Linked DNA regions of Coturnix japonica. The protein of the gene in region 2 interacts with the protein of the main gene of each other region in a pairwise test. Links are inferred from orthologs where the notes say so. Each region holds a gene or a part of one and is shown on either strand. Other genes may lie near its edges. The genes, in order: KLHL40, TASOR2, NEK6 and PRKAB2.

Evidence for each region.
Region 1: the proteins of TASOR2 (region 2) and KLHL40 interact in binary tests that used the Homo sapiens proteins (3 or more experiments, as listed by UniProt). The two-hybrid records come from large-scale screens. The link is inferred for Coturnix japonica from reciprocal best matches to the Homo sapiens genes TASOR2 and KLHL40.
Region 3: the proteins of TASOR2 (region 2) and NEK6 interact in binary tests that used the Homo sapiens proteins (3 or more experiments, as listed by UniProt). The link is inferred for Coturnix japonica from reciprocal best matches to the Homo sapiens genes TASOR2 and NEK6.
Region 4: the proteins of TASOR2 (region 2) and PRKAB2 interact in binary tests that used the Homo sapiens proteins (3 or more experiments, as listed by UniProt). The link is inferred for Coturnix japonica from reciprocal best matches to the Homo sapiens genes TASOR2 and PRKAB2.

What each region holds. Positions count from the first base shown.
Region 1 is NC_029517.1:1,772,177-1,775,136, forward strand, and holds part of KLHL40 (kelch-like protein 40), read right to left. Parts: intron 2,347-2,960; coding exon 2,235-2,346; 3' UTR 1-2,234. UniProt on the Homo sapiens protein: Substrate-specific adapter of a BCR (BTB-CUL3-RBX1) E3 ubiquitin ligase complex that acts as a key regulator of skeletal muscle development.
Region 2 is NC_029516.1:1,090,989-1,094,722, forward strand, and holds part of TASOR2 (protein TASOR 2), read right to left. Parts: coding exon 3,261-3,734; intron 2,374-3,260; coding exon 1-2,373.
Region 3 is NC_029532.1:7,814,257-7,818,587, reverse strand, and holds the start of NEK6 (serine/threonine-protein kinase Nek6), read right to left. Parts: upstream 2,871-4,331; 5' UTR 2,856-2,870; coding exon 2,702-2,855; intron 1-2,701. UniProt on the Homo sapiens protein: Protein kinase which plays an important role in mitotic cell cycle progression. Required for chromosome segregation at metaphase-anaphase transition, robust mitotic spindle formation and cytokinesis.
Region 4 is NC_029523.1:4,168,091-4,172,615, forward strand, and holds the start of PRKAB2 (5'-AMP-activated protein kinase subunit beta-2), read right to left. Parts: upstream 2,835-4,525; 5' UTR 2,760-2,834; intron 2,253-2,759; exon of another isoform or gene 1,614-2,252; 5' UTR 1,598-1,613; coding exon 1,436-1,597; intron 1,110-1,435; coding exon 943-1,109; intron 39-942; coding exon 1-38. Other genes in the region: dimethylaniline monooxygenase [N-oxide-forming] 5-like, read right to left, coding at 3,133-3,496, 3,571-3,643, 3,974-4,323, 4,397-4,525. UniProt on the Homo sapiens protein: Non-catalytic subunit of AMP-activated protein kinase (AMPK), an energy sensor protein kinase that plays a key role in regulating cellular energy metabolism.

The DNA.
Region 1 (2,960 bases), on a different chromosome or scaffold from region 2:
CCATGTGCAACTGCGCTGCCTTCCTTGGAAGAGCTCTGGCTGGTGTTGGCCCTTTTTTGCTGACATGATGGGAGATTTCAAATTGCCATTTTATCTTCTCTTGCTCTGTTCTAAGGGTGTTACCTCCTAAAGCATTTAATGGATGTGAACAACATGGGAGTGCTCAGCTCCTATTAACCAAACTCCCAACAGACAGTGCAAGGTGAGCAGCTGAGGATGCAGACCAGGATGCTGGCTGGGCTTAATCACTGCTTCTCAAGCCATTATCGAGGGACCACTAATTACTGAGACACAACAGTGCTCCCATTGACTGCAAAGGGCCACACCACTGGCTTCAAAGGGCCCACATTTCCCCCAGGAGCAGCTGAACCTCCATGGGGAAGAACCCTCTCTCAGGACCACTTTCCACTTCTGCAACAAGTCACTGTATTACTTTGGGACTCTTCCATGGGAATTTCTCCAGAACTGGATGGAGGGTGACCATTTTTTTATTCATTTATTTGGCCACAGGTTTTTTTTCATGTTTGGTTATTTTGAACATTTTAGTTGGTTTCCTTTTCCCCCTCCTTTTTAATGCTATCAGATGCCAGCCAGTCACTTCGGATTTATTTTTCTTGTGAAAATGTTTCATTGCTCTTCTGACATAATCATCTTCTAAGGAGATTATCCCATAACTCTTCTTAGAAAATCTCCTTACAATGAAGGCAGAACGAGTCTCTGGCTCCTTTACTCATGGAAAATTGTCTTTACTTCCAAACTCATTTTAGCTTCTCAAGACAGCATTTTAATCTAGTCAAATCAGCCAGACTTCTGATATCAGTGTTCGTGCTGCTTTGAGGGCATTTATTTACAAGATCTGTATTTGTTCTTCTTCATTACCATCAACCCTGTTTGTTGCACCGTGTGATGATGGAGGCATCCAGCTGGTATTTCTCTTCCTAGACAAGTTTCTAGTCCTCATGTCTACTGAGAAAAGCTTTTAGGACATGAACACTAAAGGTTCTGCTCTGAAATGGGGAAAAATCAGAACTGTAGAAGCTGGGGCTCCCCATGGGGCTGGATTTCTCCATGCATTCATCACAGCTTTTGCTCAGCCCTTGCATGCGGTTGCTGTGGGCATCCATTTACAGCTCCATCAACATTCAGAGAAAGGAAATTTGGGGATAAATATTTTCAAGATTTATTCTGAAGTGAATTGCTGGTCATACAGCATGGACATCATCGTTAGATTTCTGGTCTAACTACACATCTCTGTCCTGCTGCTGGCACAGTCGTGTTTCTAACAAAAAATCATCATGATCACTTAAAAAAAAAACAAAAACAAAACAGAACACAGTGCGTTTTGACTCAGCAGGAAGCTCTCTTTGAGCCAAACGCTGCTGAGATCTCCAAGAATTCTGCAAATTAAAACAGTGCTTTAAAAAAAAAAAGAAAAAAAAGTTTGTGACAATAAAAATGAAAGCATAAATAAAAAACCTTTCCCTGAAGAAAAGCACTTGTCCCTTGATACATGAGGACATTGTAATCTGTGATAGACCACGAGGAGCTCTAGGGGATGGAGATGAGCGTCACACCCATAGCCCCTCTTGCAGCCCTCACCTCCTTGCATCCCTTCAGTGCAAAGTCAGGATGGAGGTGAATAACTATTTTTTTTCCTGTTCATTGCAGTGTTGAAGGAATTTTTGCCCCCACTGCCAACATGCCTGTTTTCTTTTAACTGTCTCATCCCAATGACCTTCACCACGTGGGAACTCTCAGAGTCCCCCAGATCTGACCTGCACCACCTCCCTTTTCCCTCTGAAGTGATTTGTAGCACCACACCTGCAGCTACCTTAGGTGAAGAAACATATCAGAGACCCTTTTGTCTGGAGAAACATCAGCTTAATGCCTTCAGAACCCTCTTCTACCTCCACTGATGGCTGGAGAAGACTGGAAAAAACTAAGAGAAAGAAGTGGAACAAGAGTAGAATCTCTTTGTTCTGCCAGCTGAGACTGGATTAGCGTATTGCTCCATGTCTGTTAGTCTTCCCCAGCTCCTCACATGCTCTAAAGTCCTTTTTTAGTTACCGTGTGAGCCCCAGCAAATTTAAGGCTTCAAGTTAATTTTCCCCCTCTCCCATTTGTCTCAGTGAAATGGTACCAATCACAGACACAATGTCCTACACAGTATATAGAGAAACAGCATCTCCTACTGCTCCCTGTCCCTCCCTGCCCACTGAAGAAAGGAAATGGTGCTACATCTTCGTCAGCCGCAAAACATTGAGGCGCACGGGAAGGAAAGTGGCACCAGAGGCGTATTGGATCTCACGGAGGACCCCTTCCCACTTCTTCTGCTCTTCATCGTATCTGGGGAGAGACAGACAGACAGCTATGGTGAGGAAAGCATCCCCTCTCCGCACCTTATAAACCCCCCACCTCCACAACACCTGGCTACAACGCAGCTGCTGGAACCCTGGGGTATGGGTTGGTATCACCAAGATGGAAGATCTGTGGTGAAGGCCAGGAAATGCCTGCTGAGGGTGCTCTACATCCACAGACCTGGGGGATGGGAGCTAATCCTGTGTGAGCAGCTGTTAGAAAGTGCTTTCTGTCTCTGCTCTCATGTAGGACAATCTGGTTTCCAGCCCAAGCTCTGGCTTTTCTCAAGGAGAGCGTTCATTGCAGAAACACTGCTTCAAGACAAAGGGGAGATGTGGAACCAGCTCCAAACAAAATAGCAATTCAGGAGAAAGAAGATTTTTCCTGCTATTTCTCTATTGGAGGCTGGGAGAAATCACCAAATCACCTAACGTGCCCTCCAGCACAGTACAAAGCACACATCTCAACCAGAGACCTCTTGCTGAGCCTGCAGCCTTGTGATGGGGTAGCAGCATCTCCCTCAGACTGAAGGGATAAAGACCAAGACTATCTGTTTCCTTGGTGAGTAACATCCCCCATCTCCCATGGAGAGCCCCAGGGAA
Region 2 (3,734 bases):
GCAGTCTCTAGGAAAAATGGAGGTAGAAAGGGGTGGTGTCCCACTCCTTAGGATCTGTTTTAGCTTATTATGGAAACGGAGGCGCTCCATGTCCAAAGTGTGCTGGGTGATTTCTTCAAAACCTTTCCACGTCCCCATCAGTGACTCCCGTAAATGAGTCTGTCCTTGTGAGCTTCCCATCCTGCCTGGGCATTTTGTGGTGACCATGAAGTTCAGGTAATCCCTGGAGATCCCCCGGCTGTCCGTGATATTGACATAGGGTGGCACGTGTCTGCTGCTGGTGTTCCATTGGCTGGTGGGCCACCAGCAGCCCTCCTCAGTGCTCAGGGATCCCCACTCCTCGCTGCATCCCTCTGAGCATCCCAAGCTTATAGAGGATGAGGAATCGCAGTCAGTCCTTGTGGCACCCATGGACCTCAAGCAATGGCAACACCTGGGCTTAAGAAGGGGGTGGGAAGTGCGTCCCAAGTGCTTCTCCCAGTCTGAGTCACTGGAGGAGGACCTGTAGGATGGATCTTCCCAGCTCAAACCCACATATTTTTCTGTGCTGGGGAGGCATTTTGCCTTCAGGAGAGCATCCAAAATGACCCCAGTGTCACTAACCACTGAGCTCTCTCCAGAATCTGCACATAGCTGTGATGTTGGGATTGGCAGAACAGGGATTTCTCCCTCTTCCAGCTCTTCATCAGCACAGTGCGGATCAGCCAACACAGCGGAGTCACCCTGGCTGCACAAAAACGTGGGCTCTCCCATAGGCATGAACAACTCCCCTGCTCCAGATGATGCAGGGGGGGCAGGAGGGATGCTGTTTCCTCCCTCGCATTCCTTAGGGCTCCCTGGGCAGGCACACTTGCTGTCAGCATCTGGTGGTAGCTGTTCCACACAGCTGGAGCTCAGGGCAGCATCTGGAGCAGGAGCTGGACTCATTTTGGGGTCCACACCAATGACTGGGTCTGGCTCAGTCTCATGGCCATGCAGAGGAGAACAAGGCCTTGATCCTGGCTCTTCAGGTGTGAGTATATCCAGAGGAGAGCTCTCTGTAGACTCTGCATGGCACAGCCCCAAGTCCTTCTTCGCTCCTTCTGCACATTCAGGCTTCAAGGAGCCACTCAGAGCTGGGTTCTCAGCAGCCACACTCAGCGCTGCAGCAACCACTGTCTTGCAAGGCTTTCCATGTGGGCACAAGTCTGGTTCCTGCTCACTTTGCTTTAATAAGCAGCAACAGGTGTCTGCAGCAGTACCGTGGGGAGAAGGGTCCTGATGGGGGGAAGGCAGGGATGGGCTGTTTGGAGAGCTCTGCTGGTGCTGGGCCACAGCAAGAGGTGGTATATCACCAACAGGCTCCTCTTCTCTCACTGAGGAGGAAGAATCTAACAGGTCACACAGAGAGGTCTTCAGTTCCTGTGGTGCATCAGCTGTGCTCGTTTCATTGCTCTTAGGGGGCTTCTCAGCAGCACTCAGCAACGTGAGCTCAGCACTATCACCTGAAGACCTTTGGGAAAGGCTCCCTCCTGGGCCACCCCTTGGTGGAGTTTGGAGGAGAGTTGCGGCCACCTGGTTCTCTGGAGCAGCTCCCATATCAGTTCCTCCATCAGAGCAGATGCTGGAGTCAGGGGACAGGGTTAGGAAGGGTCCCTGGTCTCGTGGTGACTCAGGGCCAGCTGTGCAGGCAGCTTTGCTCCCAGCAAGCACCCATGTTTCTGCAGAGGGCGCACAATCCTCGTCTTTCTGCTCCAAACCATCCCTGAGCACCTCGCTGGCAAGTCGGGAGCTGCTCGTAACGGTAACCCCACAAACAAGGTTTTGACTGGGGGACAATGGCAGCACTGACACAGGATCATCTGTACATGCCAAACCAATGCTATTTGCCCCTGCATTTGGAGTGGCCATAGCCCCTGAGGGCTTTGGAGGTGCTGAATTCACCAGCTCTCCATCACCTCTTTCTGAAAATGCTAAATCAACAGGCCTTGTGATCGTGCTTTCATTTTCAGAGTCTTCCTTCTCTCTTTTTCCTTCCTCCACCTCTTCCTCCTCTTTTTCACTACGTCCTATGGGCTCTTGTGATTCCCTCTCTTCTTCACCAAGCCCAATGAGGTTTGAGTGAGTTTTGAGACTTGCTTCTGAGGGCATCGAATCACAGGAACGTGGACTGTGGTCACCCCTTGAGCACGCTGCCCCCATGCTCTCTGGCTGCTCTCCACCTCCATGCTGAGCACACAGGGCAGCACTCTGGGGAGCTGGGCTAAAATTCAGGGTTTGGCCACGTGGGTTTTCCCTGCCCAGCACAGCCTGGGGTTCACCAGCATCGCCAAGCTCCTCAGAAGGGCTGGGGGTCATCTCAGCATCCCTCAGCTCCTCCTTGAGTGGCTCAACCTGAAACAACATAAGCCAGAGGTTAACCTTAAAGATAGGAACTGAGAAACCCCATGTGCGAGGACATGGATATTCTAACAACTCAAACTTTGTCAGTACAACCACCCCAGTGGCATCTGTGGAGATAAGTTTGCCTCCCAAATAAGTCTGGCTTGAATCTTTATCAGACAGGAGTCACTACCATGGCCACAGACAGCCAGGGAAAGGATATGAAGCTTTTTATCTTCTATATACAGTGAAGAGGCGTAAAAACAGACCAAACTGTGCAGAGATCTCAATAAGGATCCATCACAGGCTGGAAAATGCCCAGAGGAGACAGGCAGGCTTTTGAAACCCCATCTTGGGGTAGTTCTGGTTTTCCTTCTCCCTCACTTAAGAGTAGATTTCTAATAGAGACCTTTATACTGATAAAAACAAACTGAGCCATGCTGGATCTCCAGTGACTGAGGGTTTGTTTGCTCACTAGTCTTCTCTCTGGGGTCTGGAGAAGTCCAGTGATTGAGGGTTTGCTCAGACCCTGGAGAGAAGGTGCTTGTGTTTATATGGCCTTGAGAAATCTGATATTTACTCGCTCCAATCCTTTGGGATTCCTGCACATCGTGTCCCTGTTCTCTCAGTCAGTGATGGATACGGCTTCCCTCAGAGCCCAGGGATACCAGCTCAGAGTGAACTGGAATTGAGGCCTCTGAGAACTCTGAGTATGTGTGCATAGGGCAGCAAACTGCTGAATGACTTTCATGTATCATGCTTCAGAGAGCCCAACTACATCGCCCCAAGAGAGCTCACAGGCACATCTGCTCCATTCCACCCACAAGAACCTACTTGCACAAGCACAAAATGCACTGTGCGCCCTGCTGGCTTGTAGCACCCACACCCCAAGCTCTTACTGCAGTGATAGTTGAGACGTCATGCACACACTTCTCAGTTCTGTCTTTCCCAGCCGGGTTGCTCTGATCTGCATGTTCAGTGAGGGAAGGGCTCTCTGGGCTGGTGGAGGAAGGCTCCTCCTCCCCTGAAGAGGATGATACCGTACTATCAACAACACCAGGAGTCCCATCAGCATCAGTCTGAGAGTCTGCAGCGCTCTTCTCCGGGTGGAAACAGCCCTGGCAGTGTGTGCTGGGATCCAGAGAGCTTCTAGGAGTCTGGTCAGGGTCTGACCGTGAATCCGCAGGGCACGTCTCCAACTCGAAGCAATCATCGCTGTCTTCACTCAGCTCAAAGAAGTCTCCAGTGCTGTTTAAGGAGACGTATTTCTTGGGGTTGCTGTGCTTCACCACTTTCCTCGTGCTGCTAAAGAGTTCACTGGGCTTGCTGTAGAATAGAGCTACCCACATGTGAAGTATCAGCTTCATCTCTTC
Region 3 (4,331 bases), on a different chromosome or scaffold from region 2:
AAGAGCCCAGGAAAGCATAAAATACATGGAAGCGTGAACAAGCTCCTGAAAACAATATTAATATCACCCAGTTACACAACTTTATATTAGGCGTAGTAACATCATCCATAACCAAAGGGCTAAGATACTATCTAAAAAATGTCATTCATTCTGAATGACAAAACCTCTGAAGGACAAACCACAGCAGGCAGGAAATGGCTTTCTCCATCTGTGGAAACAGGGAAGCTTCAAGCAGCAGAGCCCGGCTCTGGTGCCGTGAGTAACAAAGCATCGACTATCAGACACAACTAACAGTTGTGCTTCAAACTAAAACTGTCGATAGTTTTAAGTCCTAAGGACACTGCACTGCGTTTTTTTAAATCAAACTGCACATGAGTGACATTTAACAGATGATGTTTTTGAAGCCTTTCAGAAGGTTATCTTCATCCAACTCACATGAATGCAAGTTACAAGTGGTCCCACTATGGAAACAACATCTAAGAACAAAAATACTGAAGTACTCTTATACATTTACATATTCCTAGTTTTAGAGGTAGTGTGGAAACCAAAGCACAATCATCAGTGAGAACTGCACCCGTGGTTCCAAGCCCCCCAAGGCCGAGGTGATGGAAGCACCCATCCCCTGCCTGCAGAGCAGCACTGAGCCTCCCACACTGGGACGGTGCTTATCCTGACAGCGCTGTGTTAAGATTTCATGCTGACTTTTTGTTGAGATCCTACTCCGGACAGCCTTAGTGGGCAGTAACGGGGTGCTGGCCTCCTGAACACCCCAAGCCCACCAAGAATGCTGCAGCAAAATGGCTGAGAAGACCTACAGCTTCTTCATGTCAACAACTGATATTCATTAAACAAATGCCATGACAGACACTGTAATTCACTGTTCTATACCTAGAAGCAAAATGACATTAAGTCAACAAACTTTACGCTACCCAGAGCTTATTCCCAATTGTGGTAACATTATCTTTTCAAGTACTCTCTAGTCTAGTTCAGGGACAAATCTATAGTGCAAGTTCAAAGTACTCTCCAAGCATTCTCTGCATCAAAATCCCCCTTTTTCCATCCATACCATACACCTGAAGAGGGTACTTGAGCTGATAAGTCTGACAGGAAGGTTTTCATGCTATTACTTTCATTAACTGCCACCACCAAGCAGGCAGGCAGCTACCAGCTTGCTTCCAGTTTTGGTTCAGCATCTCCCACGTCTCCATCCTGCCTCCCTTCACACTCAGCTCCTCGATGCAGCAGCATCCACTCCAGCTTAGAGGGCTATGATGTGGATGAGCTCTGCATGCTGTCCCCTATGGCTCCAAACACAGCAACAACCACGGATCAATTTCCTTCTCCCTTTTATTTGATTGATCCTTGCTGCTGCACTATTTTTTTGCAAACCCTCTTCATGTGGCACACAACACACAATAGGTTTAATGTGAGATATTTGCTGTTTGTGCCATTTTTTTGGTCACCTCCTCAGAACTCGGCCCCAGACCAGGAGATAGAATTGTTTCTAAAAGTCTTCTGAACCTAAACACACTTGAAACACTACTTAGCTCCATCCATTCATTACAAGGGATGGCTTCACAGGGCTCCCAAGAGACCAATGCCAGGGATACTCAGAGATTTATGGCTATGAATAAAGAATTACTTGGACAGTGAGATAAATGTTCCCCTCCACCAGCCCTAGCACTTCCTTCCCTGCACAGAACTTCCTACTGTGCCACCACCACCCATACATATTTGTGTACACCGTTCCTACTGTGGGCAGATAAATACCAAATGCATATTCACATACAACATTGAGTATGGACAGCAGGCAGCTGCGTTTAAAGTGAAAAACAGTTCCTCTGAAGACAGGTAATACAGTAATTACTGACCAACAAGAACGGGCTGCTTTTCTCCAGCCAGCACTCAGATATGCTGTGAAGCCAAGGCAAGGCTACATAATTCATACTCTTCTTCGTGCAATTCAGAGCCTCTTGAAAGCACTGGGCTGCCCAAGGAGACTGTGGATGCCCCATCCCTGCAGGCATTCAAAGCCAGGCTGGATGTGGCTCTGGGCAGCCTGGTCTGGTGGTTGGTGACCCTGCACATAGCAGGGGGTTGAAGCAAGGTGATCGTTGTGGTCCTTTTCAACCCAGGCCATTCTATGATTCTATGGTTTCACAGTCTTTGAAACAGCTGAGACAGACCTTGCAGGCTGCTACTAGCATTAAGGAAACATGCTGAAAACAAACACATACTCAATCTACCTGGAATTTTACCATGGTGCTTACTAAGCATGCAACAACATGCTTATCTTCTAACTCATAATGCAATAGAGCTTTCAAGCCTGAAGCCAAATTATTTAAGAACATTTACGTTATCCTCCTCAGAACTCATTCATTTCCAATGAAGGAAAGATTAAATATGAGCTAGAAATATATTTATATTGTATCTGTTCCCTGCCAGACACTGCCACATCTCTCCACCTGCCTGCAGTAACCTCATGCGTGGCCATGGGGGGTGCTCTGTGCTGCAGTCCGTGCAGCCAGCACACCTGGATCTCATGCAAAGGAACCCAGGGGATTTTTTTATATATACATATATGCACATCCAACTTCAAAACATCAGGACAACAGCTTGAAGTATTTACATTCCTCATAATCAAAAGTCACAGGAAATGATGCTGAGGACCACGCAGCCCAGCCGATCTGAAGATTCATACCATTCGAATCCAAAGGCAACTTCAAAGCCACCTCGTAAAGGCTGCGTGCTGCAGACACAGCAGCCAGATGCTGCAGGAGCTTCCCGGTATCCGGACCTTGCAGGAGCAGCCAAACGGAAGCAGAAACTCTTCCCAGGGTAAAAAGGTTTAACATCTTTCTACTTACAAAAACATCTACATCAGAAACAGGTTTGGATCCTTCCTCCACTAAATACGGTAAGGACAACTGTATTAGCATCTATACTAGTACAGTGGTGTCTTTCCCTACACATTCCTGAAGATCTGGAACTGACAGCAGCCACTCTTCTATGTGTAACCTGCTCTTGGCTCCATCTCCCCAGGGCACAGACACAGCTCCTGGATCAGCGCTGCACATCGCGGCTGCGGGGCAGAACAAGAAGATCTGTTCTTCGGGAAGTCTGCACAGCTCCTTTGATTCCTTATTCTGCTGACAGACAGGGTTAATGAAGTTCTTGCAGAGAACTCTCCCTTTCCTGGGCTAAATGCCCAAATTCTTTCAGGATTCACAAGACTGTCTATTTAAATTGGGTCCAATTTTTCTTGCTGCAGAGGCCTGCACAGAATGTTCTGACGAGAAGCTGGGAATCAACCTTTTGAGAAACTCGTAACTGAACGCACGAGCTCCGTGCAACACACAGAAACCATTCAGTGCCACATTCCGCTCTGTGCGTAATGACTCTGTTATGTTAATAAGTGACAATGCTGGAGCATGAACCCAGCAGTACCAGCACATCATTTAAACCCACGGGCAAGCATGTAAGCGCAGGTAAACACAAACCCATCCTCCATGTGCTTCCATCACATGCTTTGGGGAAAGGAGGGGATCCACCTTGCACCTGCAGCTGTTTCTTGTGAGTGGTGGATGGGGACCAATAGGGGCCGGGGCTTTTCCCAGTGCCAGGAAACCTTCTGCCCAGAGCCATAAGAAACAGAGCTGCTGCCCAGGCACAACCCTCTGTACTTCCCAGAGCACAAGTACCAGCCTGTGTAAGGCATTCGCTCGAGAGGTTCCATTATGCAGTCATACATACAGATCTTTCTATAATACAACACATCCAATGCCTTTATTACATCTCCTATACAAATTAAAACCACTCTGCCTGCAATTTTAGATGTAAGTTCTGTAAATTTTAAGGAATTTTAAGTGCACGCAGATATGCAGAGGGCCTTCAACAAGGCTGAGGCTCCCAGCAGCAGCCTTGGCCACATCCTGTTCTGCAGCTCTTCCCAACAGGAGAGAGGGGACTGAAGCTGCTGCCCATGGACAACAGCTCCCAGCTGCCCACAGCTCAGTACAGCTGCTCACGGCTCACAGACCGAGTGACAGCAACACTACTGCTCTGTCTTAAACCCAGTTTTGTTTTGTTGTAGAACCAAACAGAAAACAACATGTTACATACACCGTTTTCAAACCACAAAGTTATCTCAGACACGTTACACAAGAGTAAGAATTTCAGTGTGCAGCCTGATTCAAGCTAGCCTTAGATATGGCAGCTCAGCAAAGCTGGGCTCCTAAACCTTAGTGGAGTTTCTAATTAACTCGATTAACCCACGCTGCTAACTCCTCAAGCACAGCCTCGCAAACCAGTGTTTTCAGTCCTTCAACATC
Region 4 (4,525 bases), on a different chromosome or scaffold from region 2:
CTTCTGGGAGGTCCAGGATAGCAACGAAGTCGTTGTGGCTGTGCAGAGAGAACAGATGTACAACACCATTACTGCAGTGATGCTTTGGATGCTGTCCCAGAGAAGAGCACTTTGTCATGCACTGCCTGCCCCCTCGACCCAAACACCCATGTGCTGGGTTAGGATTGCTCATCACTCAAGGCATGGCCAGAGCAGGTGCGAGTGCCCAGAGCCCCAGGATGATTCAGATCCCTCAGGGCCCATAGAATCGTAGACTCATTAGGGTTGGAAAAAAACACTAAGATCATCTGTTCCAATCAGGACACAAGGCAAACAGGAGCTCAGCTTGCAGCCCTGCCCCACACATCGTGTGGGATCACATGATGGCAAGTGCAAGACACACTGGACAGGGCGAGTGAACAACGAATCTAAACCTGTGCTGGTACTGCAGGATGAAAGCATGAAGTGCCTGTGAAGTCTGCAGTCGAGATAATCCCGTGGCAGGTATTTGCTGGGATTATGCCCAGTCCTACATAGTGTTTCCACAGAAAACACAGGTGTACTGCAGAACAACGAGGACACTGCTATGGAAGGAGGACAGGTGAGGGACAACCAAACAACTCCCTCTAGCAGCAACACAAGCAGGCAAGGAGAAGGGCCACCAAGCTTCAGAGAGCTGCAGCACACCTGGGCAGGGCCCTGCTGCCAGGATGGCTGCTGTGTGGCATGTAATTGGGAAAGCAAGGAGGCCCATCCTGTCCTGTCCCATTTCACAGTTTCTCCCTACCACTGCAGCAGCCCCCAGGCAGGATGCTGGCTGCATATTTGTGCTCACACCTCGAGCTCGGGCATGATGAACTGTGAGAAGCCAGGTTGGGCAAAGGGAACAGCAAATGGCACTGAGAAAAACGCTCCCTGCGACTGATGGAGGAGAACACGGGGTGAGCCAAGGGGTATAGCTACCTCTTGATGAGCGGGATCTTGGTGCTCCAGTTGTTGAAGGATCCAGAGATGAAGACCTCTTTGCCTCCATCAGCCCAGCGGATGACAGTGGGCCGAGCCTGCTGGGATGGCTTCACTGACTCCTCCAGGTCAGGCTGCCATGAAACAAACTCCTTGTCCCCTGGAATCTGAGCAGAGAACACCAGAGCCGTTTCATTTCCCTCCACCTCCATTTGCACATTGCAGACAATAGTAACCTCAGGCTGGGCAGGCAGCTCCACCCATCCATCCCAGGAGATGTTTCTCCTGTGTTGCAGCTCAGCTTGTGGTTCCTGCTATGAAAGCTGTACCCCGGCACACTGCCACCCTGCCTGTATTTAGCTTGAATTAAACAGAGGGCTGCTCCCAACCAAAAATCCTCTCCTTGAAAGCAGCCTCAGCCCAGCACAGCCCCCTATGGGACACCACCCAGCACCCGACGTGAGGACAACAAAGGCAGCAGCCAGCCCCCTACCTTGGAGTCGTGGGAGCTGAAAACACTGGGGTCATCTGTGCTGCCCACCATGATCTTGTGTGGGTGCTCCTTTGTGGGATGGGCAGCGCCGGAGCCGTCGGAGCGGTGGGACTTGGAGCCATGGCGCTCACCGGACACTCGCTCGCTGGTGGTGTTTCCCATGACAGCTCAGCAGCCGCTGTGAGAGGGGGAAGAAGGCAGTGTTGCCTATGTCCGTGGGCTCCAGCAGGGAGCAGGGTGCTGCTTCCCGCTGCCTTTTGCCAGCACAGAGTGACAGCAATCCTAAAAAAGGCCCAAAGTTCTTCCCCGATGCCAAGTTTGGGAGCCGAAGGGGAATTTAACAAGCGAGACAGGCTGAACTAATTATAGGCATACCCTTATGAGCCATCGTGATAGTTAAGCCGGTAATTGTTATACCCTAAAACAAAAGTGAGTTAGACCACATCCTACACAAGTAGAAGGGCTGATGAGAGAAATAAAGCCACCCTTGAGTGGCAGATTGTCTCCCGGCACTAACAGAGCCTCTTTCACAACCCCACAGTCAGCCTGCACAGAACACAACGCTACAGCCAGCAGGAAAACAGCCGGAGAGTGAAAGTAGCAGCTGTTAACAGCTCCCAACGAGTGTGGGTGAGCCTGCGGGCAGAGCAGCACGGCTTCACGGCTGGCACAGCAACAGTGCTGCAAGTAGCAGGAGTGGAATCGGCCAGGCTGGAGTGCGGCCAGGGCAAGGAGTAACAACACGGTGTGTGCAGGCTGTGCTGCTGAGCAGGCTGCGCTCATAGCCGACCCCAGGGCTGCGTGTCTGCCCAGCGCCGGGCGATACATGGGCTGAGCCCATCGCTGGGGCAGCCGGCTGTGTTCTGCAGGGAGCCAGCCTTGATTCACTGGGTGCGTTGTGACAGCTGCGGATTTGCTTAGAACATCAAGCTATGTGCGGAGGGCCGGGTGAGGCCGCCAGCCAAAGCCTGGCTTTAAACCATTACGGGGCAATTACTCGAGTATTCCTTAAGCCCTCAGAGGGCAGCGAGCCCACGGCTCACCCCACGGCAACGATGAGATGTGCAGGGCCGCTGCAGCACCGCCCGGCACAGTGCCGGCCATAGCGGTGTCACCGGGCGCGGCGTTACGGTACCAACGGCACCGACACCCGCACCACCGCCCACAGCGTCACCCCCCGCACCGCCGCCCTGACAGCCCCACCCCCTGCCGCCTCCTGTCCGCTCCGGGCCCCCCGCCCCGCCGTGACACCCAGCACCCAACCCGGCCCCACAGCACACGGGGGCAGCGCAGCCCCCCATGGCAGCCCCGCTCGCAGCCCCACCTGCCCGCCGCCGCCGCCGCCGCCCCGCTCTCCGCCTCCGATCAAAATGGCGGCCGCCTCCACCGCCAGCCTCTGCGGGGCGCTCTGTCCCGCCCCCGCGCTGCTCTCTATGGTACCGGGCAGCCATTTTGTTTGAGGGCGGTGTGGCTTCCGGGAGAGCGGCCATCTTTGCTGTGGGAGCGCGGCCTGGTGCGAGTAGTTTGCGTTGTGCAGTGCGGGCGTTAATGAGCGCAGCCCAGAGCCTGAGCCTTCATGGAGAACAAGGACGAGCTTTATTGCCTTTCTCATGAGGAAAACGTGCCCCGTGCCCCTCCCAGCGACACCGAAACCCAAGGCAGAGTTAGGGGATGGCCAAAGCCCTCTTCACTAGGGGCTATGGGGACAGCGAGACGTAGATGAGCGTGGCCACGATGAGTCCGAGGCTGAAGAGGACCTTGAAGCTGTGTGGCACCGAGCTGCAGGGCGGCACAGAGCGGCCGTGCCCGGCCCTGCCCCGCAGCGGGTGCTCCACGCGCTGCTGCTGAGTCAGGATGGCCTCCCGCGCACCCTGCCATGCGCCGGGGCCATGCAGGCGGTACTGGTAGGGCGTGCAGGGCCCCAGCAGCACCTCCAGCGCCAGCCTGGGGTCAGTGAGGAAAAGCAGCGGCACGTTGGGCTTGACGCCCAGCTGGCAGGCGAGCTCGTCCATGTAGGGGATGTAATCCACCTGGATGGTGTGCCGCCGGCTGGCCACGTACCTGTGGGCAGGGACAGGCTCTGTGTGTGCTCATCGAGGAGGTGGTGGCAGGTTGGTGCCCCGCAGGGTTCTTACCGCTTGGCTATTTTCTCCTTGGCTTGTGTGATGTCAGCCAACATGGTGCTGGTTGGGGGCAGCTTGTGCAGACCTACAGAAGGAGAAGCAGAGAGCTGTGCTATCAGCAGTTGTGTCCCTCTGCGCCCAGCGTGGCTGCTGTGCCACAGGAAAAGCCTTTGGGCCACCAAATGGGGCAAGAGAGAGGCATGGGCAAAGAAATAAGAGAGAGAAAATGGTTTGCAGGTGAGGAGATCCATTACCAGCTGTATGTGATGAAATAAAGTGCAACACTTGTTGCAAAATGCAGTGATGTTTTATATCCCTTCATAGAAGGATGATAAAAGGAGGAGCACATGCCAGCAACTGAATAATTTGGCCTTGCCATACCCAGAGAAGTGCATTCCCGGCTCGCCTCGCTTACCCTTAAAGACACGGGTGGCCCAGCGGCTCTGCATCTCCGAGATGGGCATGATGGCTCCCAGAGGCTGGATGTAGCCAATGAAAGCCAGCGTCGGCTTCTCCAGGTCAACTGGGAACATAAACTTGTAGAGGGGGACCTGATTCTCCACCACCTTCACATAGTCCTCAAGGAAGGGGAAGGAGAAGCTGTACCCTGTGGCAAAGACTACAGCATCGATGTTTTCCTTAGTGCCATCCTCAAAGATGGCAGATGTCTCCGTGAACTCCTTGATGTTTGGCTTCACCCGCACCCTGCCCGAAATGACACGGTTGGGCAGGTCGTCGTTGATGGTCAGGTGCTGGTTGAAGACCCTGGTGAGAACAAACAGAGCTCATGCAGGACCGAGTGCAGGCAGGCCCCCATAACTCTGCCACGAACACTCACCGGTGTTTTGGCTTCAGACCATACAGAGCGTGGTCAAAGCGCATGTTGAGTTTCCTCTCCAGCATGAAGTTGCTCACGGAGAGGGGCAGCAGGCTTTGGAGGAGCTGGATGAAGCGATTGATGTAAGAG